4 linked regions of the Caenorhabditis elegans genome follow. The protein of the gene in region 4 purifies or fractionates together with the protein of the main gene of each other region. This does not show direct contact. Each region holds a gene or a part of one and is shown on either strand. Other genes may lie near its edges. The genes, in order: set-16, wdr-5.1, pis-1 and utx-1.

Region 1 (5,063 bases), on a different chromosome or scaffold from region 4:
ATTCTTCCGTTTAAATTAATTTCCACGTACGTGGATCCACCCTAAGCTTTCAGCATTTTCAGGCTTACCGGTGAGATTGCAGCGTACACTTGCCCTCAAACGCCTCAGAGACGATGAGAAGCCGAAATTTGTATCCATCGCAGCCTCCGCTCTCGTCGACGACTTTCTGGAAGAAATTTTCGGTTTTTTTAATGAACAACATCAATAAAACTCACCAAAATCTGCGGCTTGATGGCTTCTGTGAGTAGCGCATTGACTCTTTCCACTGGTGATGCCATCTGTCGATTAAAATTTAATTTAGGAACTGAAAATTGAGCAGAAACGAAAATTGGAGAAAACCACACAAAAACCAGATTTTGAAAAAAAAAGTATAAAAATATTTTTTTATTGATTATTCATATATTTCGCATGTTTTTAGTGTATTTCTATAAAGAAAAATAAAGGAATAACTAGTAAAATCAACAGAACAACAAGTAGGTGGGGGAAAATATATGCTTTTGGGACTTTTTGGGGTTTAACAACAAACAAACTTTTTATGTGAAAGGATTCTGAGGTAATTTGTGATCATTAGACATTCAGAAGGGGTTGAAGAAATGGTTATACCAGCGGAACTTGACGGAAAGTGACGAGGGGACAAATTAGGGGATAGGCTCCTATGATTGCAGGATTTCGTGTCATTCGCGGATCGAAATTCAGGGAAAAATCGAAAAAAAGTTTATTGGAAAAGCTTCTCCTGGCGTCTCTTGGTCTCCTCTTCTTCTTGCTTCTTGCGAGCCTCGATCTCAGCGGCATCTGTGGTACGGGGCTTCAGGTTGAGACGTGGACGTTCTGCTGGCGGAGCTGATGGATCTGAAGTTTCCTCGGCTTTGTGTTGTTCTTCGCTCTCGCGACGTTGTCGGTATCCACCGCGATGTCCTCCGCCGCCAAATCCGCCACGACGCTCTCCTTCGTTGAAGCGGCCACCTTCACCGCCACGCCGGAAGCCTCCTGCTCCACGACCACGTCCTCCGCGATCTCCGAAGTTTCCTCCGCGTCCTGAGCAAAATTATTGTTAAAATGAGCGGAGAAAAATAAAATAATAACTGAAATACCTCCACGACCACCTCCGCGGTCACTGCGATCGCGCTGTTGGGCACGATTAACCTTGAGTACGCGATTTCCGAAATCGGCTCCATTAAGGCCACTGATAGCAGTATTCATCTGTTGTTCATTCTCAAAAGTGACATATGCGAATCCCTTGAAACTTCCAGAATCTCTGTCGTGCACAAGATGAATATCGAACTTTTTGAGCTGAAAAAACATTTATTAGAAATTTCCTGCTTTTCCGCAGTACCTCTTCATCTGTGAACTTGCAGTGCTTTAATATAGTTTCGATGTCAGTGGCGATGGAGTCATAGGGGAGCCCACCGATGAATGCCTGTAAAATTCGATATATTTAAAATGCCATTGCTTTGAAGTACCCACTAACCTTAAAAATCTCATCGGCCATTGCTTGAAAAGCTTCCCCAAGTGAGACGTCTTCTGAAATTCATTTAAGTCTTTAAAAACGCACACACGAAAGCTCGAAAATACATATTTGCAAATCAAATTATTTATTTAATTTTTTTCCAACTCTCAGTCCGCAATCTCGCGTGGCATTCGGTGTATTGGCACAGTGCCAGAGAGACGCAGTGCGGCAGAGATGCGTAGCCGCCCCGTTAACATGGCAAGGGGCTCTACGCAGCGCGTAGAGACGCAGACATGTAACGCTTGGCAAGATGCCAAACAAATCGATACGCCCTTTTCAACAGCCGTTAGAGGAGAATGGGCGGCAGTTTGAACGATTTTTATCTCATTTTCAGTGGAATAACTCATAATAATTATTTTAGAGTCAAATTCGTATCGATTGAAGCTTCAAAAATCGAGAAAGCCGACTATATGAAGTCCAAAAGATGATTGTAAGTGTTCACCGTTCAAAATTTTAACTATACATCAAAATTAAAATTCCAGTGCATCGAATGTGGCGGTACCGCGTTCAACAACACGGAACTATGTGAAAACTGCATGGATGTTAACCGTTCTGGCACGATGTCGTTGGATATGGCCCGTCAGGTAGGAAATTTTCGATTTTCCACTATTTTTTTTTCTAAAATCAGAAAATTTGCAGTGTGACATGTCGTCCAGCTGTGGATCGTGCCAAAGAATGATAACTGCAGATTCGAGGCAGTGCACAACTTGTCGGAAGTGAGATTTTGAATTTTCAATTGTTTTTCACCGGATTAAAATACATTTTTTTTGCTTTCCAGAAGCTACCATCTCTCCTGCGACTCTTCCGACGTCTCAAGCCTGAACAATTTCGTCTGCATATCCTGTCGTCGGCGAAGCCAAATGCTGCCGGACGACGTGATGCTTTCAGCCTCCGCACGCCCTTCTCGCGGACAAGACGCACCTCTTTCTCCATTCAGCGACCCCTCAGTTCCCCAGATTTCACTACAAATGCAACCGGCACCTCTGCCGTCCAGTTATCCTAGAAGTCAGGATTTCAACGGGGATGTGTACACCCAAATAGCCGCCATGCAGCAACAACGTCAGCAGCAGCAGCAAAATCAAGTTCAGCAGATGTTGGCCACACAGGCACAGCTTATGGATGAAATTAGCGATGGTGGTGGTACGAATGACAGCGATCGGAATAGTAGTCCATTTTATCAAGAGGCTTCCGACTACGATGAGGATTTCGTGCCTGCTAGGTATGCCGTAGATTAAAATTCCGTGAAATACGAAAATTCGTTTGAAAATCGAATTAAAGCCTTAAAGGAACACCGTAATACCTTGAAGGAAAGGATGCCCCACTAAAAGGGGAGCAGAACGAAAAGGGGAGCTGGCACTGTGCCAAACGCACAAAACGCCTTTTTCTCATTCAACGCACGTTGATTTTTGAAATTTTCTTATAGAAGATACGCTTAACAACACACGTAACATCGGAGCATCGTTGTATCGTTTCCTTCGAGAAAAATAGCGTTTGGCACAGTGCCAGATCCCCTTTTCGTTGCTCTCCTTTTCATATCTCTCCTTTTCGTTTTGCTCCCCTTTTCGTGGGGCCTCCTCAAGGGAAGCACACTTTTACTTGGGTCTCGCCACGACGAGAAATATATTACTGTAAATTTCAAATTTTCGCTGGTGTTCTTTGTTTTTTGGGTCACAAATATAGTTTTCTGGTAGTTTGGCACAAATAATTTTTTAAAAAGTAGTTTTTAACCTAGTAAATTAGAAAAATTCTGAACTTCAGAAAAATTTATCGATACATACCGTATTTCTCTTATTAGTATGACCTCCGTATCAGACTTGCACTCCCTATTAGTGTTGCACTTCATACCCCCTCTGAAAATTAGTATTGCACTCCCCAATAGTCTTGCATATACTTTTGTCCTGCAAATTGGCCTCACTAATTTTAAGATTTCAACTATATTTTATGTTTATTTTGCAATAATTTTTGACAAAGTTCTATGAAATTGGAATTATTGAACCTTTTTTATTGCAATTACAATCAAATTTTCTAAATTTCCAAATAAAATTGGAATTCTTTCATGTAAAAACTAGAAAGTCCCAACTCAGAAAAATGTTCTGAAAATTAGTATGGCACTTCCTAATAGTATTGCAAGCGGGGAGACCTTCGAAAAATATTGCAGCCATATTAATAGAAGAAATAAGGTATTTATAAAAACACTTTTGTTAAATTAAACTTTTGGAAAATTAATATTTTCCAGCACTCGCGGACGTGGACGTGGTGGAGGCGCCAAGAAAAAACCAGGCCGCGGAGGATCCACTGGTACTCGTCGACAAACGAATCCCGGCCCGTCGGGCTTCTTTTCCGCCACACAGCTTCAGGCGATGAGTGGTGATTTCTCCCACCTTCACCAACCGCAACAAACATCATCGACACGTGGAAAGAGGGGAAAACGAGGAAACGGCACGTCGGTGCCACGTCAGCCTGGCAAGGGACCGGGTCGTGGACGTGGCCGTGGGCGCGGTAGTGCAGCCGCCATTGCTCAGCTCGCCCAGCTTCAACAGGTGCAATACGGTGCTCAGGGAGCCCCAATGTTCAATGGTGCCCCACAGCTTCACCCAACCCAACCCACTGTTGCTCCTACTCTTCCACCCAGTGTTACCTATCAAAATGTTGCTCCAACTGCTCCTCCTGCTCCTCCTGCCCTTCAGACCCCTCTTCCCGATCCGCTGCCCTCAATTGTTCCGAGTTTCCAGCAGGCCCCACAGGCGGTCGCAATTCGAGAAGTCGACGAGCTGATGCTCGAGGATGAAAGCTCACGGCAGTCTGGCGGCTCAAGATCTGATGAGCCAGAGTATATTCGTACGGCTATTGTTTGCAGAGTCAATGACGAGTTTTTGCAAAAGGTAAGATTGAAATATGAGTGTCATAAAGGAAATTTAGCTGGAAAAACTATAAAAATTATTTTTTGTGATGAATATTGAGAATATAATTTTAATATCTTTGAAAATTTGAAATTTAGATTATTTTTTTTGAAAGAAGGTTTTGTCGGAAAGTTTTCCAAAAATTGACTGCTAAGCTCAAAAAATCAACGAATTCCCGGTTTTTCAGGCTTGTATGTGCTTAGTATGCGGATCGATTGGAAAAGGGCCCGAAGGATCGATGGTGGCATGCTCAAATTGTGCACAGACGTATCACACGTATTGTGTAACCCTACATGATAAGGTAGGCAGGCGGAATCCCAATTTCTAGACGGAAAATAGAGTTTTCACTTAAAAAAAACTTTTTTCAGTTTCGAGGCATTCTCAAATCTGATTTTTTTTTCTATAAATTTGATTTAATTTCTTTTTCGAAATCCCGGATTAAAAAATTTAGAGTAAACATTTTTTTTCAAAGTGTCTGTCATAGTGTCAATAGTTCACTAGTAAAATCTTTTTTTTCATAGTATCTGATATTATGCAACCAATTTGATGCAAAAAAAAAACAATTTTCTGAAACTATGGAAAAAAATCGTAAAAGTCTAATTTTCAAGCCAATTTTGTAAAATTCAAATTTGATCGATTTTCCAACTGACAAGATA
Region 2 (4,159 bases), on a different chromosome or scaffold from region 4:
ACAGGTTCCTATTGCACGAGTATTTCTTCATAAACACGGTTATTCGTTTTTTTTTCCTTTTTAGAAACACAAATCTGAAGAACATGAATTGCTTGACCTTGGTATTGGCGGCGATAACCTAGAAAGTGGGACAAGTTATTTCTTGCTGTCCACGTATCTTTGGATAAGGAAGATCATCAATGTTTCGTAACCTGTAAAACTAAGAGAAGAGAAAGACAAATATATATCAACTAATCTAAAAAGTTGCAGTCAGCAAGATGAGGAAAAAAATAAAATATATAAAGAAGTTGAATATCTAGAGGTTCTCAATATTTTTGTCAGAAAGTTTTTTTCTCATTCTCAAAATAGCATTGAATATTTTCTTATTAATATTTTTGCTTTAAAATAATAATATTAACAGCGTGATAGTTTTTTGGAACACGAATATCACATGCATGCGCATTTCGCAAGACTTCCATTCTCTGCGTCTCTCTCCTTCTGACTCATTTCTTCTCTTTAAAATCGAAAAATATTGTTCTCATCGACCCCAAATGTTTAAAGCGTTCTCATCGATAATGCAAAGTCTACAGTTCAAAACCGATGTTCCAGTGATAATGTGAGTTTTTTCTTAATTAAAATATCAATTTTTCACCTAGAATTATTTCAGAGATGCAGAAACTGTGCCGAACGAATGTTTCTCGCCAATTTTCCGAAGGCTGGACAAAAAATCACTTCTAAACTGCCAATTGGCTTGCCATCGATTCAATGATTTGATATCAAGTGACTCGTTTTGGATTGAATATGCTCGAATTTTAAATATATCAAATGTTCTTCCATCTTTGGAGTGGAGAAGAGCAGCGACACAGAAGAAGTTTGTTGGAAATGAAGACAATGAAATTGACACTTCAAGTTTTAATTTTAATATTAAAAAAATAGTAGGTTATCGCATTTTATAGTAATAAAATTACAAAGTTTTACTTCAGGTTCTGTCTGGAAGAGGCTACTCACCAATCACTCCGCTTTTCATTTCTCATTTTGAAAATGCACGTGACAACACAATAAGTGGAACTCTCCGTTCAGATGATTTTTCAATCAGAGCGAATGGCAGTGGGTATGTCAATACTTTGTTCTTAAAATAATCAATATTTACAATTTCAGAATCCACATGGAAAGAGATGGAGGAAACGGTTGTGAACCACATCCGGATGTTTCCAAGTGCTTCGTATTTTCATTCACAGAGAGCTCAATCAGTGTTTTCATCGATTTGGTGAACTCTGGAATTGACCCATGGATCTTGGATCACGTTCGCCCGAGAATTAGAATTACACAGAAAGTCAATCATCGTAATGATTGTGCAGCCAGGCTCTCATTTGCTGCTCAGTTGAACTATCACGAGACTCAGTGGATTGAAAGATTTGGCCATGTACAAACTATGAGCAACACTGATCATAAAAGATATAAATCTGTAAATAAGGAATGGGCTCAATGGACTGGTCAACCTTGGGAAGATTGGACAATTGAGTTTGACGATTACCCGTCTGGAATTCGACATTTAACTATTCTGAATGAAGGTGAAGATAGACAATTTTGGAGAGGATTCTACGGACCAAAAGTTGCCAATATTCAAGTCGAAGTTATTCTGCCTGATGAGCCAATAGTTAAACCACTCGCTGTTGATTCCGAAAAATGCAATGAAGACGAGAATCCTAACGCTGAAGACGAGGATGATGACGATGATGAAGTACCGCCAAGAGTCGGAGTTTTTAGAATGCCACTCTTTCGTCGTGGTCGTCACATGTATGGAATTCCTCCCGCTGTGGCTCGTCATGAAGATGAAGACGAGGAAGATTAAATAATGCACCGACAATTTTTCGCTTAACTGTTTTATAAAGTGTTTGTATGACTGGAAAAGTTTGTTATATCTGTAATCGAATGAATATATAAATATTTTAACACGTATCAGACACGGATACATGTCATGACATGAGTTCATTAACGAAAAAAAAGAAATTCCGAAAAAAAAACTGCAAAAACATTGCGCGTCAAATTGTGTGTTCGCTGTGCATGCACCCTTGCCTCTGCGTACCGCACATTGCATCTTACGACGATTTCTATTTTATATTTTTTGAATGAATTTCTTCATTTTTCAACTTAATTTTTGATTTTTGCTGTGATTTCAGATATGGATACCAGCGAAAATGCTGCTTCAGCTGCCGAGCAACAGCCAACACAACAAATCGATCAATTAACAGTACCAAATGCTCCGGATGGAGGTTCTTCAGCTCCTGCTCCATCTGTAGGTTTCGTTATTGTTAAATAGTATATTTTTGAATAAGACTTCACAATAGTCAATTTCCAGACTTCTCCCAATTCAATTTCGCCATCAAATCCGACTGGCACACCCGCTCCAGGTGCCAGTGCCCAAACTCCCAATCCAAACGCCGCCGGAGCTTCAGCCTCGGGTTCAGCAAATTATAAGCTGATGTGTACATTGGAAGGACACACAAAATCGATTTCTTCAGCTAAATTTTCCCCATGTGGAAAGTATCTCGGAACAAGCAGCGCGGACAAAACCGTCAAAATCTGGAACATGGATCACATGATTTGTGAGCGAACTGTATGTTTCCGCTCATGAAAATTACAATTAATCCTTAAATTTTCAGCTCACCGGCCACAAACTGGGTGTAAACGATATAGCATGGAGTTCCGACAGCCGTTGTGTTGTCTCTGCTTCCGACGACAAAACACTGAAAATCTTCGAAATTGTAACGTCGAGAATGACCAAAACCTTGAAAGGACACAATAACTACGTCTTCTGCTGCAATTTCAACCCACAATCATCGCTCGTTGTCTCCGGATCATTCGATGAATCCGTTCGTATCTGGGATGTCAAGACAGGAATGTGCATAAAAACCCTCCCAGCACACTCAGATCCAGTGTCAGCAGTGTCTTTCAACAGAGACGGCAGCCTCATCGCATCGGGATCCTACGATGGTCTAGTTCGTATCTGGGACACTGCCAATGGGCAATGCATCAAGACTCTGGTCGACGACGAGAATCCTCCGGTGGCATTTGTAAAGTTCTCTCCAAACGGAAAATACATCCTCGCATCGAACCTCGACAGCACTTTGAAATTGTGGGATTTCTCGAAAGGAAAAACCCTGAAACAATACACTGGACACGAGAATAGCAAATATTGCATCTTCGCCAACTTCTCTGTTACCGGTGGAAAATGGATCATCAGTGGTTCCGAAGATTGTAAGATCTACATCTGGAATCTCCAGACTCGGGAAATAGTTCAATGTCTTGAAGGACACACACGTAAGTCGAAAAATAAAATAAAAATGCAAATTTAAATTTTTTCCATTTCAGAACCCGTGCTAGCCTCCGATTGTCATCCAGTTCAGAACATCATTGCCTCAGGAGCTCTCGAGCCAGACAACAAGATTCATATATGGCGCTCGGATGTTTAAATTGTTTAAATTTAATTAAAATTTCGAAAATTTGATTTATATTTACCCCTTGGTCACCGTGTATATATGCTTTTCCTTCTTGATCTCCTATATTCCTTGATTATAGAGGCGCGGTGGCCAGACACTTTTTTTTCTGAAACTTCGTATTTTCTGTCATTCCTTATATATTCTTCCTAATATAAAAATCCATAAATATTAATTTCCGTGGGATGATTGAGATGATCATTCAATTGATTCGTTTTATTTCGATATTCTATTTGATTTTCAGATTTAATTTTATTTTTCTGGATTGAGGCTGAAAATTTTAGAATGGCAACTCGGGCTACACAGATTTCGACGCTAGTTGAGGAAATTGCAAATAATCCCAATCTTAAAGAAGATCTGAAAATTGTAAGAAATCGCAGATTTTCTAAGTAAACGCCCCACCCCTGAACTATGGGTCTCTTTAGGTTAAGAAACCGAAAATCGAATTTTTCAATTATTCTTGCCCGATTTCAAAGCATTTTCAATTGGTTTTAATGATTTGATGTCAAAAAATAAATTTTTTCATAAATCTCGGCATAAAAATCATTAAAAACAACGAAAAATGCTTGAAAATCGGGGAAACTAACTGAAAACTTTTGAACATCCAGTTTTGCCGCCAAAAACCTAACGAGACCCATCGTTAGCCCGTTTCCACGTGGATTTCAAAAGGGTTTTTTTTCTGC
Region 3 (7,252 bases), on a different chromosome or scaffold from region 4:
GGCTCGCATCCGGGCTCAAAATACTTCCAAAAAATTGAAGAAACATGTTGAAATCAAGAAAAACGTTGAACATTTGTTACATCTCGTTTCCAAACGTTTGTTCATTGAAGTGATGTGCATTATAAGTTTACAGCGTTATCATTTTTAGACGCATAATCAAAAGTTGTGAACAAAAAAATTAAACTGATAAATAAAATTGAAGTGGTAAAAAGGTACTAGGATTGATGTATGAAAACTCTATGAAAAACTGGGTGAAAACCACACGAAGGTCACCTTTTCGGTGTGATCGGGCGATAGATTTTGCAAAAAAAAGTTCCGAATCGAGAGAAGAGATGGGAGAAATCGATGAAAATGTGGAAAGTTTTTTACAGAACCACATCACAATGGGATGATTTTTGAAAAACAGAACAAAGAACATGTTTCCAAACTGTAGAAAACATTAGGTCGAAATTAATGGATCTGGAAATTATTATGAACCTATAATCATGGTCTTAGGACGGAAGAATTTAGAGAATTAAACAATTTTTGAACAGAAACTTTGATAATTTGTATTTTGAGGTATCATTTCGGGCGAGCCAGTTTCCGTGATTTACGCAAGAAATGGTTTTTATTTTCCGCATAATTACCATCTAAAATGCATGTTGATAAGACGATTATAATGATAAGGCGGTCAAACTATGAGAGCAATTAATTTGATGGTGTCGCGAGGAAACAATCATTTGGCGCGTTCATATTGTTTTTGAAATGCATGAATTTGACGAGTTAACCACAGAAGACACAATATATATGATAATTCTACAATTATGTACACAATTTCCAAATAAGAAAAAAAACAAATTGGGAAACAAAAAATCCGGCTGAAAAATTAAAAAAAAAGGCTGCTGGCCGAACACTCATCAAATATGGCCTAGAAGTCTCCTTTGTGAAAGTTCTAGGCCAAGGCGTTTGTTCGAACAATTTTAAATTTATTTTTAATTGAAAACACTTTTTATTTTATTATAAGGTAGTATAACTTCATTTTTCTATTATATTCAGCCTATAACTTTGTTTCATCAAATATTAAACTACCCGCACACAGTCTAATGACACGTCGCCGCTCAAAAAATCGATATATTTACAGACATGTCGTCCTCCTCTTCATCTGAAGATGAACTTGAAAAGAAAGTGACTAAAGAACAGAAGAAGAAGGAAACCAAGTCAAAGGTGGTCTTGTTTTGAATTTGAGTTTGAAATATTGTCAATTTTCAGAAAAGGCAGTCAGAAGCCGTTGAAGAAGAGAAACAAGAAGTAAAGAAAGCTAAGAATGAGGAGGAAGTGTCTGGACGATTGAAAGACAGCGATGGAAATGAGGTAATTATTTTATTATTTATAAATGTTAAATAAATTGTTTCAGATGTTTGAGATCGGAAATCTTAGATACGCGACCGTCAGCAAGTTCAAGGGAAAGGAATATGTCAACATCAGAGAATATTACATTGACAGAGTAATTTGAAGTGGTAAAAGGCAAATCAATGCTTTGTTCTTTTCAGGATTCTCAGAAAATGATGCCAAGTCGCAAAGGAATCTCGTTGAGCAAAGCACAATGGGCAAATTTGAAAGATCTCATTCCAGAGATTGACAAGAAATTCTAATTTCCAACTTCAATTATTACATTTTGCTCCTCCGAATGATACTTACATTTCCATTACCAGAGTAATTTCCCACCGGTTTCATTTTGTTTTGTTGTTAAATGTTGTTTAGTTATTTTGAAAACCATGCTGACCCGAATGAAAATGTTTCGTCTCATCGCCAATTATTTGATTTTTCAAGAGAAAGTTGACAATGCTTTTAAATATCTATCATTTCCCTTTCTGATATCATATATCATCTAATACAATTTTAGGAGATGGCGGACCCGTTGAGTAAGGAGGAAGACATTCAACATCGTCCCGATTCTCCTCCCTTGGGTCTTTTGGATCCATCACGAATCCAAAATCCTCTTGCCAACGATCAACTTCATCAAGTGCCACAACAACAAAATCCGTCGGGATTTGTAATGCCCGAACAACCAAGACAACAGGTTTTGATTCATTTTAATTTTTCTGTTTCTATCAAAATTACAAATTTATTTTTTCAGCCACCGCCACAAACATGGCAGCGAACACCCACGATGAGCCCAGCCAATATATTCCAAGGAGGTGAGAACACACATTTTAAAAGTAAAAATGTCTAATTTCCTGTCAGATTCAGGATCAGGCACACCTGGAAGTCAGCGGAGTTCCACTGGAACACCGAACCATCAAATGGGCAATCCCCCACAACATCAACAACAACAATTCTTTCATGGAGGTCGGTTTTTGTGTTTATGAATATTTTAAATGAATTTTTATCTCCTAGAAAGTCCCGCACATTCGCAAGGAACTCCGATGACACCGCAAAGTGCTGGTATGCCTGGCTCAAATTGTGGGACCCCTCAGAGCGCCGGTGGTCCACCGACTTCCGTTCCGTACGATTATCAGCAAGCACAGATGCAACAGCAACAACATGCTCAGGTAGATTTTAATTAAGTTTTAATTTTAAAATTAATTTTTTCCAGGCAATGGCAGCGGCAGCAGCGGCTCAACAACAACAGCAACAACATCTTCAGCAACAACAATATGCCCAGAATCCGCAGCAAATGCACGATTCACCGTATCGGCAACATCAGATGATGCAAATGCATCAACATCCCGGACATCCATCGCAATATCCTCCGGGATATCCGCAACAGCAGGCGGCTCAGTGGCAGCAGCAAATGTATGCAAGGCAAGCTGCAGCACAAGCTCAGGCTCAAGCCCAAGCTCAGGCGCAAGCTCAAGCCCAACAAAGAGCGGCAGCACAGAGAGTTCCAGTACCGTATCCGCCAGGAGGTGAGTGAATTGTGTATTTTGTCTACTAATTTAAAACAATAAAAAGAAATGAAATAGTAGTTTTTAGCCTATCCACCTGGAATGCCTGGACCAATGACGCCTGGATATCCTGCACAAGCGCCCGCTGCTCCTCGAACGACCCCGGGCTCTGCCGGACCTGGAACAGGACCTCCAGGGACTCCACAACGTCCACAGTACCCTCAAGGAACAAATCCACAGCCACAACAAGCGCAGTTCACCTATCCACCTACACAACAGATGACACCTACTGGGCAGCCTCCCGGGTATCCCGGCATGCCTGGAACCCCTACATTCTCGTCTCCAGCTCATCAAATGTTTCGACAGGGTCAGCCAACTGCTCCACCAGGAATGCGACAGTACATTTCGCCTCAGGCAGGACAACAGCAACCGACCCCTGGAACTCCACGTATGATTGAAAACAAAAAGAATAACAATATTGCAAGTTTGTAAACTAAATACTTCAGATCGTTTTGCTCCGCCGGGCCCATCTGGTACTACATCGTCGCCGCATTTTGCTCCAGGAGCACCTGGTGCTGATTTGAGATCACCGTCATTGATGTCCCCAAATCAGCAATCTCAACAGCATACTCCCGTTTTACCGAGAAGCTTGCATAGTTTGTTTTATGATGTTCATTGAATATACATTCAGCATCAGAAGTGTACGGCATTTGGATAAAATACTGATAGCTAGCCTAAAACTCGGTTTACCCATCGTATACCATTTTAAACATAGGTACTTCCTAATCGATAGAAAACGTTGATTTTCTTCAAATGCAGAAACCACATACCGCACACCTCTTCAATTTTCTGTGAACAATTTTCTGTGAACAACATAAACCTTTTTTCCAGACGAAATGACATCTCATGGAATGCGTCCGATTGCTCTTCCATCCCAACCACTTCCACAAACCCAAGGAACACCTCAACCGATTCTTTCTGCATCATCACTTCCGCCTCAATCAGCTGGAGCCACACAGTTTGTGTATCGTCCACAACAGCCGAATCAAATGAATACAATGAACCAAATGAATCAAATGCATCACGATGTGAACCCATTCCCGATACAAATGAATGTTGATCCAGAACTTTATTTAACTGGTATTCACTTTCATTGCTTCGATTCGGAAAAGTTGTTTGAGGACAAACTCGATCGTAAGAATTTGGAATTTATGATTAAAGTAAGCTACAAATTATTATTATTTAATCATCATTCTATAAATTGTAAATTTTCAGTATCACGGAGGGGACATTGAATTTGAGGCTTCAAAATTCCATGAAAGAATCCATCAAATCACGCATGTCTTAGTTGATTCCTGTCGTAATACAAATGTTATGACATCATTGGAACATCGAAAGCGAATTGTCTCCATCCAATGGATTATTGATGTAATGGAACGAGAAAGAGTTGAATTACCTTGGAGAATTGCTCATTTACCACCACCGTTCAATGAAAATTTCAGACCATATCTCGGAAAGGTACAATTCTTGCTTTAAGGTTTAAAATATCTCATAACCAATGTTTTCAGCTTTTTTCATTGTCCGGCTTTGACAGTTCCGAACGTGCCGCAATTTCTTTTATGGCTGAAATGATGGGCGCAAAGATTACACCATTCTTAGCCAGGCAAAATGATTTATTAATTGCCAAACAGTAAGTTTACAATTACTGTAAGTTTTACAATTAGATGCCAGTTATCGCATAACATGTTTACTTTTACCCGATCGCACCGTATAGTTAAAACACTCCCTAGTAAGATCATTTTTAATTCGTAAAGTTTAGGCCAGCTGACAAAGTTACAAGAGCTCAAGAATGGAAAGTTCCTGTTGTAAATTTTCAATGGATTGCTGATGCTTATGTGTGCGACGAGGCGTCACCACAGAAAAGGCCAAATGTGGAGAATCCGAGATACCAATTAGAAAATCCAGTGATGACAAACGTTAATACTTCTCCAAATCACATTGAAGGCGCAAGTCAGGAGTTTGGTGCTATGATGTGTAAGTCCATTGTTAGAAACTAGATAAATAGTTCATATTTATTATTGTTCAGCTTGCTGGAAATCACAGACTATAATTGCGGACCAAGCTTACGAGAAAGCCCGACAAAATCGTAAAACGCTTCAAAACAACACATTCTTCTTCCCATCAAAGCGACTATCAGATCAAGCAGTTGCACCAACCGAAGACGAAATTAAAAGCTCCCGAGCTCGCCTAGATGAAATCAAAACTCACTGGGAAGAGCATCAAGAGAAAATGAAGGATACACCGTTAAGCAAAGAATTCTACCGAGTACGTGAACCACAAGCTCGAGTTTCAGCATGGTTTGGAGAAGGAATTGATGATGAGGCGTTGACGATTTTGAAGAAAAAACTCGAATTTCTTGGAGGAGAATGTGTTGAGAAAATTCGTGATGCGACTCATGTTATTTTGATTTCTGGACGGAGAAGTCTGGTTCTTCTTGAATCCATAATTCGAGGGAAAAATATAATGGATCCAGAATGGATTGTTGATAGTTATAAACAAAAAATGTGGCTGGGTGAGTTCTCAACACATTTTTTATAAATATAAATATATATATATGATTATTTCAGATACATTGGATTATTTCTTACACGATAAAGAACTCGAAAAAGAATTTGCATACAATTGCAAGAGAAGTGTGCTCAGAGCAAGGAATAAACCAGTTTTTGAAGATATCGAATTTCATGTGACGCGATTTGTGGAACCGAACCAGAATGATTTAGTTCGATTAATCGAATTGGGAGGTGGAAATGTGCATTCAGAGAAACCTGATCCAAAATATCTAGGTGAATATGAAACATTTAAATGATTGAGAGCAATTGTGTCATGAAAAAAAATTCGATCTTGTTCGGGGAAATCAAAAATCGAAAGATTCATTTATGTTGATGAAAAAACAGAGAAAACATATGAAAGTAAAAGAAGAAAAATTACCAAAATTTTATACCCTTTTTCGAAAAAGCGTAATTTTGTTTTTGAAATATCGGTAAAACTAAAAACTAAAATCGAACAACGAAAATCTTCGATTAAAAAAATTAAATTAACAACCGACCTTGATTGGGAGCTGTTTTGTTTTGAGAAATATTTATTTTGTAAAAAAAATTTGCAGCGAAATGCGTCGAAACGGAACAGCCATTTATTATAATATCATGCGAAAACGACGCTCGCTTCTTGAGCTACTTGGCAGGTTCTAAATTACGTGAGTTTTCTTGCCAAATTAATTTCAATATTAAAATTCAAACTTTCAGCCATTTACAATGTGGACCTCGTATTGTTTGCAATGCTTCGGCAACAAATCGAACCTCTTCCACAATATCGAATCCCTATTCCAATTGTCGTGAAGACACCCGTATTCCGACAACCGCCACCGTACACAGCACCCCCTAAAGATCAAGAACCCGCAGCATCACTTGCTTCAGAGCCTACAAGAGCAGCAGATGTACTTTCAGAAAATAGCTAGCATTTTATTAATGGTACATTGATACTTGTATATTAAGTATTTAATTCAAATTTATTTGCACCTCCTCATCACTCAACGAATCTCATTATTTCCCATGTTCCATAGTTGATTTTTACAACATTTCTCAAAATTTTATGAATAAATATTTATATTTAAAAAAATCATATTTTATAATTCTAAAGAAAATAGGAGATCTCAATATTGTGCAATTTAAAATAAAAATTCTGAATGCCGGATGCCTTTGAGCAATTGAAATAAAAATTCAAAAACTGCAAGTTATCATTTATAATTTCTTTGATATTGTCCCTTTGAAACAAATAAGTATCATCAAAGGAAGAAGTTTGAAAAGTTGGAGGGATTTCATTATTGATGTTGAAGTATATTTCCATTTTTCTTGGGCTGAAAATATTATTATTTGAATTTATTTTTTTACTCTCGTCTTGACTTGAGAAACGGTTTTTCTTATAAGACCACCTTTTAATAGGTTTGAAAATTAATGTCTGAACTGTTAAAGTGCAAATCCTTTGATTTTGAACACCGTTAGAAAAATTGGAACTTTTTAATTGAAAGTGACAGTATGTTCTAGTTGCCAAACGTTTTTTTTAATGCTAAAATATTATCCATATGCGAAAATTTGTGATTTTCTCCCCAAAACTGGGCGCTTGGTCTCCAAGCGACCAATTTTGTTTTATTTAAAAGAGCATGAGCCTATGAGGAGTACTGTAGTTGGTAATTCTCTTTTTGTTACGGGATTTTCTTCTATTGGTTTCACACGTTAAAAAATTGATTTACCTATGAAAATACATCAACTTAAAAAAAAAGGAGAAAAGTAGGAAAGAACAATAACAACGAGAAGTTAGCAACTACAGTA
Region 4 (8,053 bases):
GCTGTTCTGTGTTCAAATGAACCAGGTAAATATTTCATGAATCAGGCAAATATTTTTCCTATTAGTATTGTATGCAATACTATTTTTGATAGTTTAAATTTAGTTCGAGATTACCTATTTTCAAATGAAACAGCTATTGTGTTAGGTGACGATTTAAAAAAAGTTGTTAAAAATAAATTAATTATTGACGTTTTTTTTGTTAATTGGTTGTTAGGAGTTTTATTATACATAGAAGACAATTGAACTGCAAATAATGAAAATCTTTGAAATTGGCATTTCCAACAAAATTAGGATTGCTAGAGACTTGAACACAAATTTTCGTGGACACATTTAAATGCGTTATTGATAGCAACAGCCACATTACTAATAGAGAACATTCGGTAATTCAATTTTAGAAATTATTCATTCTTGTTACAAAAAATTAAATACAATAATTATTATAGATCTCGCAAGGAGTGACGACCAACGATCGTATCAAAGCTCGCCGAGCTGGTCATGCCCATTCTCACTCCGGCTCCACTGACTACAATGTTATTCATCACAAGCCAAGCATCTCGAAACGGTGTCATAATCTTCTGGAATTCTTTTCCTCTAACGGCGATCCAAACTGGTGAAAATACAAATTCGGATTTTATCTTCATCGGACCTGAAAAACTTGCCCTGCTCCCCGGATTTTTCAAACTTGAGAATCAAAACTTTTCTATGGCATAACAAATCTATCAATAAAAAACAAAATACTTGTAAATGTGAATCAGAAACCTAAATTTAAATTTCATCCCCGCCCATTCCCCCATTCACAATCTACTCTTTTTCATTTTCTTTCAGTTTTACATGAGATACTTCACTTGTATAATTTGGTTGTGAAAAGATTTTAAATGCTCTCTATCTCCCTTTTTCCCTCTTTCATTTCCTTTTTTGTTAAACTTTTTGTACATTCCGGTTAGAATCAAGTGCTTGGAGATATTTGAAGTTTTCCATCAGTTTTCTTACTTTGCTCTTCTCTCTTGCGTATTTCCGAGATCTCTTTTTCTTTACTGTTTTCCTAGATGTAAATAAATTTTCTTGAAATTAAACAAGAACTCAGTTTGTGTTGTCCAAAATCTTGGATTGTAACTTTTTTTTCCAGCGGTCTTCCTGTTGTTAATCTCAAAAAGCTCAGGTTTTAAAGTAATAACTTCTACAACAAGATCCACAATAATGTACTGGTTGCTCTCAAACAAAGTGGATCAAAAACTTAATGTGAAAAAGACATTTCAAAAAACTATAAAGATACCAAAGTTCTATTACTATTGGCAATATTGTTCAAGATTTGTGTTAGTTTTTTATTTACATATTTTTGAAGAATAAAGCAGAGTAGCTTGACAATATTCTTAGCATGGAATTTTTCATAACTCATGTTCTCTCGATTTTACAAATTTCTGAATGAGATTCAGTTCCACTTTGTGCGGTATTGCGAAATCTGCATATATTCACCCTTTCCACAAATTGCCCCCTGACGACCCCAATCCATACTTGCGCACACCATCGACCCACTCCTTGTCCGCCCAAGCGTTTCTAACCGTCTGCGCGTCCGTATACCGAGCACTACCTCTCCATTTCCCCCTCCACCATTCGCCAAACAGGCACAGTAGAGACGGGCTGCGAACGCACGGCAATGGCAACGATACTCCGTTTCTAACGTTGATCTTTGTTTAATAAACCATACTATTTGAATTAAGACACAGTATTGACCAGTTCACAGTGCTCTAATTGATTTTTTGTGCTTATTTTCTTTGTCAAAACTTGATTAAGATTTCTCCAAGTTATGTTTCCTACAATTCTCTTATGTGTATGTATTTTATTATTACTAAATCGCTGCAGTTTTTCCAGATTTGTATAATTCCCAAAAAGTCTTGTGCATGAACACCGTATCGCTTCTCACACCGCCAATGGACGAATCAGAACCTCTGCCGGAGGAGCGTCATGTAAGGATTACTTGTTTTTAGTGCGCAAAAGTTAAATTTTCTCATTTTTCAGCCTGGAAACTTTAAAAAATGGCTGGAACTGCCCCTTCTGACAAATTATGAACTGGAAAGGATTCGCACATTAAGCAGGTTGAAAAATTGTCACAAGATTGCAATAAAGTAAATATTTTTTTAATTTTCAGTTTATCATTCGACGAGTTTCACGTTCAAAACCCAGCCGATCTCACTTATCAAGTCAGATTGTTCTTTGCAAAAGCCCGCCAATACCTTGTCAGATATGTGGATGAGATGAAGAGCATTTATAAAACGCACAAGTACAAGACAATCGAACGGCGCATTTTCTACGGATTGGCGAAACAGTGTCACGTTGTTCTTTTGGCAAATGATTGGACCGGAGCACTGGAGCTTTATCAAGAAGTGTTGAGCCATCATCCTGACCTATTCTCACATGATCCTTCGATGTACTTCGGGTTAGGTCTTGTCTACTTGCATTTCAAACAGTGGAAACCGTGAGTTTTTGTTTTTTTGTTGTGAATAATCTGAAACAAAATCTTCTAGTGCAATCGAGGCATTCACAAGACTGCTATATAGTTTTCCAACCGGTATGATCGCATTGCAAGCAAAAGTTCGTCTTGGAGTGTGTTACATGGAACTTGAAGATTACAACAGATGCATAAATGTAAGTATTAAGAAAACGATCTGAAAAAGTTATAAGTTGAGACATAAAAAAAACAAGTTTTAATTGCATTCAATGCGTTATTAAAATTTGTAGTGTTTCTACAATCTTTCTTAATTAAACTTTTGGTAAGTCTTACCATCAGCTTTCTCGAGCAAACTGGCAGTTTTCCCACAACTAGTTGTGGAAAATTAGCTAGATACTCTACAAAGCTAGATCAAAAGACCGAGAATACGCATGCTTTTGCAATAAAAAGCTATACTCCAGAAACTTTACAATGCGTAAAATTTCGTAAAATCTTTTCAGTTATTTAATAAACTTATTATATTTTACAGCTGTTCAAACTTGCCGTCAACGACAGTGATGAGTCAGTATTTATGCCGAAATTCACAATTAAGTACAACATTGCTCTGAGCCACGAGAATAATGATGAGCTTGAAATTGCAGAATCAGAATATGAAAACCTAATAACTGAAGTGAGTAGTATCACCAAACAATGTTAAAAACAAAAAAAAATCGAATAATTTCAGTTAACACAACACATCAGTTTCTTACAAAGCAAGTCGAATGTGGATCAACAACAAGTTGACTTATTGATAAGTGTGAAAGCAGCATGTTTGCGACAAATTGGCTGGATTTCATATCGCCGCTCTTATAAAGACGATGCAAATCGTCTGGATCATTTGAAGAAGGCCCAAGAGAATCTCATTAGTGCACATGATACAGATCCACGAGATGGACAAAGCTACTACTATCTGGGACGAGTCTACGGGGAACACGAGCCTAGTGTTAGTGGACAAGTGGTTTGTGTTCATTTTGTTCCTTAACAATCTTAAAAAATAACTTGTTTTATTTCTATTAACCTCTAATTTTCAAAAAAAAACGTTAGGAAAATAATTTAATTCTTCCTGAATTTAAGGCACACGATGCGTTTGTCAACTACCGGTTTTCGATTGACAAAAAAGAGCAGAATGCGGACACGTGGTGCTCAATTGGAGCTCTGTATCAGCGACAAAATCAACCCATTGATGCTCTTCAGGTATGTTCAGGAATCAAAATTAGAGTTTTTGGAAACAATGTGCACAGTGTGCAAGATCAGAGCAATTCTCAAAACAATGGCGTATGCCCACCCCAATCTTTCCAATAAATGCCTCCAATTTTTAATATATTGAACACGTTTTAGGCATTCATATGTGCAATTGAGCTGAATTCAACACATTCTGCGGCATGGACAGATCTCGGAGAGCTTTATGAGAAAAATGCCCAGTACCAAGATGCGCTGGAGTGTTTCAAAAATGCAATGCTGAACAATCCAGGTATGTTGATGGTTTCCTGAAAGAAAAAGTAGAAGAATATAAATAAATTATAACTTTTCTGGAAAAACCAAATTGAAATTTCTATCAAAAAATGTTGTGAATGAATCAGTTTCAATATGATTTTCTTCATTTCTTATCAGCCAATGATACTTGCCTGTCTATAGTAGAATGGGTGTCGCTAAATTTGCTATCGCCAAACATTGAATGTAAACTTAAACGAAAATATAAGAGAAATGAAAGGATATAACAGAAGCACAACTAATCTGCTTAATCTCTAGTCACCAGATAAAATTTCCACGTGATTGGAAAATATATTTAAAGGAAGTATGACAACATTTATGACAACGACTGAAAAATGTTTAAGAAAAAAACCAAGTTGTTTCAATTGTAATGGTCTTTTCTAAGAAAGCTCTGATAACAAACAACATTCATTTTGAAATTAGCAATACACACTGTAAGTGTTTCCAAGTTGAAAATGTTTAATAAAATAGAAGACGTGACAAATGAAACGCAGTATCCATTAAAAAGAGAAACAATATATTTCATTGCAGTTTTGAGTTTTTCAAGTTTTAGGAAGGTGAGCTTGTAAATGTAGGTTAAATGTAAAGCTAGAGGCTGTTTTGAGTGAGTAGTAGTAATTAACGATTTCAGATTTTTTAAAGAACAAACTAATGTTATCATGACATTTCAGTTGCTCCGGAACCAATCAAAGCTCGTGTACAATTTCTTGAAAAAGAACTCTCGATGCCTGTGCCCGCACGTCCCTCAAATCACGCCTCGTCATCAACATTTGAAACCGTGATACCTTCATTGAAAGAAGCTTATGAGCAGCCAATACCTCTAGAGCTTCGTAATCGTCAAGACGCTGCCTATGCTGTAAGTGATTGTTGTCATGTGCGTTTTTTTGAAACCACAATTTTTAGGACAGAGAAGCTCAGTATGACAACGCGTTTTGGGATCTTTGGGAAGATTTCAGAACAATGGAGCATGAAAAGCCGGAAGATATGGAATGGGATGTAACGTATCCAAGGCCAATGGAAGATCTCGAAATCCAGGTTATGCAGTTGCTTCGTGCCAACGAACCAGCTTTAGTAAAAGCTGAGAGAGAAGTTCTTGAGTGTTTGGAAACCAGCGAGGCAGTGTTTAAGGTAATAAGAGCTCAAATAGCTGACAAACACAGGCCAGTGAAAAATGCGAGCAAAAAAGGCCAAACACGGCTTAGAAGTCATACTCTTTTCATTAGTGTATGATAGCTATACATTTATGCCAGTACATCAAGGGAAGTGATGATGCAGTTGCTGCCAGGGCGGCCGCCAGTGTTGCTTCTAACATTAAAAAAGGAAAAAAACGAGAGAATTTCATAGCGTATCTGTTGCACAAATCTCTTGAGTAGACGCAATGAGCCTAATTATAAAGCTTTTCTATGTTCTATTGTCGCATGTAAAATATATTCTGAATAACTGAAGCGTGATCAGAACTGAAAGTTAAAGTTGTGACTCACTTTTTCTGTAATCTGAAACATTTGAAAACCATAGGGATTATTAAATGGTTTATTGAAAAACATTAAATTTTTCAGGCAAAAGTTATTGAATACGTAATTCCGGAAGCCGTTCGTGAAATGCCACGTGTCACCGAGGAAATGATCCAAAACCTTCGCGACCATGGGCATCTACTTGAATCGCCGAGATGCTACAGCTTCCCATTCTTACCGAAAATTTCGTTTAATGACCTTCCGGATAGTTTCAGTTTGCTCTCGGAGCTCTATGTTTCAATGGATATCAGCGCTCAGGAAATTATGCAAATGGTTCATAGAAGAACTCAGCCAAACTCCACATACCTACCAGTGTTTGAAGAATTTGCGAAGTTACCCGAGCCACCACGAGGTCCCGTAAAGCCAATTGTAACAGATGAAGATGTACGCACGGCGCTAGAAAGGAGTGAAAAGCATCCATTAATTCTTAAAACCCCAATTCTTACGGTGGACAATAGGAAGGAAGCTCAAAGTCTGGAATTACAACGGTTTTTGGATGGGTCTACTATTTCTTGTATTCGTGGACTTACTGGTTGCCTTCGCCTCGATTTGTCGCTATTCTCCACGAAAGCAGTGGCAGAAATTGACGGAAACCAAGAAATTGAAATCCGAACTCAGTATCAACTACCACCAGAAACGAACTGTGATCATGCAAGTCAACAGACATGGCAATGTGTCAGTGATCCCTCGTACACAACAGTCAACAAGTATGCCGAGTATCAATCGGAATCGTTCAAGCACACGCTAAAGGGTGAAGCTGAGAAAATCAAGAAAAATGTGGGAGGAACACGTGGACCTTCTCCTAAAAGAATGAAATTGTATAAGCGAGCCAGCTCTCCACCGAAACATCTGAAGTCTATTAAATATGGAACTAATATTGATTTATCTGATGACACTAAATGGGGAAAACAGATCAACGTAAGTTTTTTTATTGCTCCATATTTTAAAACCAAACACAACTGCCGTTTTTCAGGAACTTTCTAAACTTCCTGCTTTTTGTCGCCTCATCGCCGGCTCAAACATGCTCTCCCACTTGGGGCACCAAGTTCACGGCATGAATACTGTTAAGCTTTTCATGAAAGTTCCTGGCTGCAGAACACCAGCTCATCAGGATAGCAATCACATGGCTTCCATCAACATAAACATTGGTCCCGGTGACTGTGAATGGTTTGCCGTTCCATACGAGTATTGGGGAAAGATGCATAAGTTGTGCGAGAAGAATGGCGTTGATCTTTTGACTGGAACATTTTGGCCTATTATCGATGACTTATTAGATGCAGGAATTCCAGTGCACCGTTTCACACAGAAGGCTGGAGACATGGTATATGTGAGTGGCGGAGCCATTCATTGGGTACAAGCTTCGGGATGGTGCAACAACATTTCTTGGAATGTGGCGCCACTCAACTTTCAACAGTTGAGCATCTCTTTGCTCAGCTACGAATACAACAAGCTGCGCCGATTTAAGAGTGAAGTTCCAATGCAATTAATGTGCTGGCAAGTAGCAAAGAATGTCAAGTTTACCAACCAGCTCATCTACAATACTTGCAAAGGTGTATTGATTAGGTGAGTAGCCTAAGAAGAACAATCAAGTTTGTAATAACTTTATTTCAGATCACTTGCATTCCTGAGAATGGTTGCCGATTATATCGTGTCTCAGAAGAAAACCATAAAAGCTCATACTCGAACAAGTGGAGAACAATCCCATTTCTGTATGACGTGCGAGTGTGAAGTGTTTTGTATTTTGTTCGTGAAGGATATTGGCGGAAAGTTTACAGTCTTCTGTGTATACTGTGCTAAATCGTAAGTTTTCAAAATTTTTGAACGTTTTGGGCTTAGAAATGGTTATTTTTTATGCCTAAAAATACAAAAACATTCAACACGTGATTCTGTATATTTTTGAAAAGTTACTTTTAAAAAATACACAAGTACTTGCGGAACCTCACTCAGAATTATAGTGGTTCGAAAAGAAAATGTGATTTTTCAGGCAAGGAATCGAAGGCTTCATAGCTCTTCAGCAGTTCTCGTTCACCGACTTGTACTCAATCTACGACAACATGAAATATATACCCGCAGCTAACAACAATAAGATGAGTTTCACTGCCTAGAAAGTTCTAGTTAGGACGTTTTAATCATTGCATATTTTATTTCACAAACCTGTTCCACTTGATGTGCCTCTCTCCCTCACCCCAAACATTTCCCCGTTTCAATTTTTGGCGAAAGCTCAAAAGGTCTCGTTCACTTATCTCAATCTTCTCAATTAGTTCATTTGTGTCCCTCTTTCGATACACTTCCAAAACTGTGAAAACCCAAATTTTAAACTATTTCCTCAATTTATCTGATCTCCTGTTTATTGTTGAACTTTTTTTTCAAACTGACTGCCATGTTTTACAAAACGTGGGATTGTTAGCTCATGGATTGTTTTTTTATTTCGAGCTTTAATTTTTTCTAAATAAACTGTTGTTTTGATAAACGGAAGTTTTATTAGTATAGAGAAGGCAGTATCCGCATTTTTGTCAATCTTTTATATTGCGGTGACAGGAGCAGCGCAGTTTGACATGATCTGAAA

Evidence for each region.
Region 1: the proteins of utx-1 (region 4) and set-16 purify together in Caenorhabditis elegans (affinity purification with mass spectrometry, with the first as the bait; one study listed by BioGRID). This does not show direct contact.
Region 2: the proteins of utx-1 (region 4) and wdr-5.1 purify together in Caenorhabditis elegans (affinity purification with western blotting; one study listed by BioGRID). This does not show direct contact.
Region 3: the proteins of utx-1 (region 4) and pis-1 purify together in Caenorhabditis elegans (affinity purification with mass spectrometry, with the first as the bait; one study listed by BioGRID). This does not show direct contact.

The regions. Positions count from the first base shown.
Region 1 is NC_003281.10:13,642,050-13,647,112, forward strand, and holds the start of set-16 (PHD-type domain-containing protein), read left to right. Parts: upstream 1-1,866; 5' UTR 1,867-1,931; coding exon 1,932-1,937; intron 1,938-1,989; coding exon 1,990-2,091; intron 2,092-2,146; coding exon 2,147-2,223; intron 2,224-2,285; coding exon 2,286-2,726; intron 2,727-3,743; coding exon 3,744-4,389; intron 4,390-4,594; coding exon 4,595-4,708; intron 4,709-5,063. Other genes in the region: T12D8.10 (BolA family protein), read right to left, coding at 69-166, 216-278; drr-2 (RRM domain-containing protein), read right to left, coding at 716-1,035, 1,092-1,290, 1,334-1,417, 1,469-1,489.
Region 2 is NC_003281.10:3,703,126-3,707,284, forward strand, and holds wdr-5.1 (WD repeat-containing protein wdr-5.1), read left to right. Parts: upstream 1-2,159; 5' UTR 2,160-2,161; coding exon 2,162-2,275; intron 2,276-2,338; coding exon 2,339-2,596; intron 2,597-2,642; coding exon 2,643-3,300; intron 3,301-3,351; coding exon 3,352-3,452; 3' UTR 3,453-3,659; downstream 3,660-4,159. Other genes in the region: C14B1.3 (F-box domain-containing protein), read left to right, coding at 531-595, 647-914, 963-1,090, 1,138-1,831; dph-1 (2-(3-amino-3-carboxypropyl)histidine synthase subunit 1), read left to right, coding at 3,762-3,842. UniProt on the Caenorhabditis elegans protein: Contributes to histone modification. May position the N-terminus of histone H3 for efficient trimethylation at 'Lys-4'. Required for di- and trimethylation, particularly for the trimethylation at 'Lys-4' of histone H3.
Region 3 is NC_003282.8:9,791,223-9,798,474, reverse strand, and holds pis-1 (PAX-interacting protein 1), read left to right. Parts: upstream 1-1,882; 5' UTR 1,883-1,885; coding exon 1,886-2,059; intron 2,060-2,116; coding exon 2,117-2,177; intron 2,178-2,223; coding exon 2,224-2,328; intron 2,329-2,376; coding exon 2,377-2,531; intron 2,532-2,575; coding exon 2,576-2,888; intron 2,889-2,955; coding exon 2,956-3,315; intron 3,316-3,373; coding exon 3,374-3,523; intron 3,524-3,758; coding exon 3,759-4,087; intron 4,088-4,142; coding exon 4,143-4,385; intron 4,386-4,435; coding exon 4,436-4,557; intron 4,558-4,686; coding exon 4,687-4,901; intron 4,902-4,953; coding exon 4,954-5,439; intron 5,440-5,494; coding exon 5,495-5,710; intron 5,711-6,030; coding exon 6,031-6,120; intron 6,121-6,169; coding exon 6,170-6,381; 3' UTR 6,382-6,538; downstream 6,539-7,252. Other genes in the region: T13F2.2 (Putative RNA polymerase II transcriptional coactivator), read left to right, coding at 1,123-1,203, 1,249-1,350, 1,394-1,483, 1,530-1,631; T13F2.4 (FTH domain-containing protein), read right to left, coding at 6,558-6,780.
Region 4 is NC_003284.9:8,555,282-8,563,334, forward strand, and holds utx-1 (JmjC domain-containing protein), read left to right. Parts: upstream 1-1,869; 5' UTR 1,870-1,898; coding exon 1,899-1,964; intron 1,965-2,016; coding exon 2,017-2,093; intron 2,094-2,146; coding exon 2,147-2,473; intron 2,474-2,522; coding exon 2,523-2,643; intron 2,644-2,975; coding exon 2,976-3,116; intron 3,117-3,170; coding exon 3,171-3,443; intron 3,444-3,559; coding exon 3,560-3,679; intron 3,680-3,823; coding exon 3,824-3,956; intron 3,957-4,647; coding exon 4,648-4,832; intron 4,833-4,879; coding exon 4,880-5,104; intron 5,105-5,532; coding exon 5,533-6,405; intron 6,406-6,460; coding exon 6,461-7,050; intron 7,051-7,098; coding exon 7,099-7,287; intron 7,288-7,471; coding exon 7,472-7,592; 3' UTR 7,593-7,954; downstream 7,955-8,053. Other genes in the region: dhhc-14 (Palmitoyltransferase), read left to right, coding at 1-25, 444-614.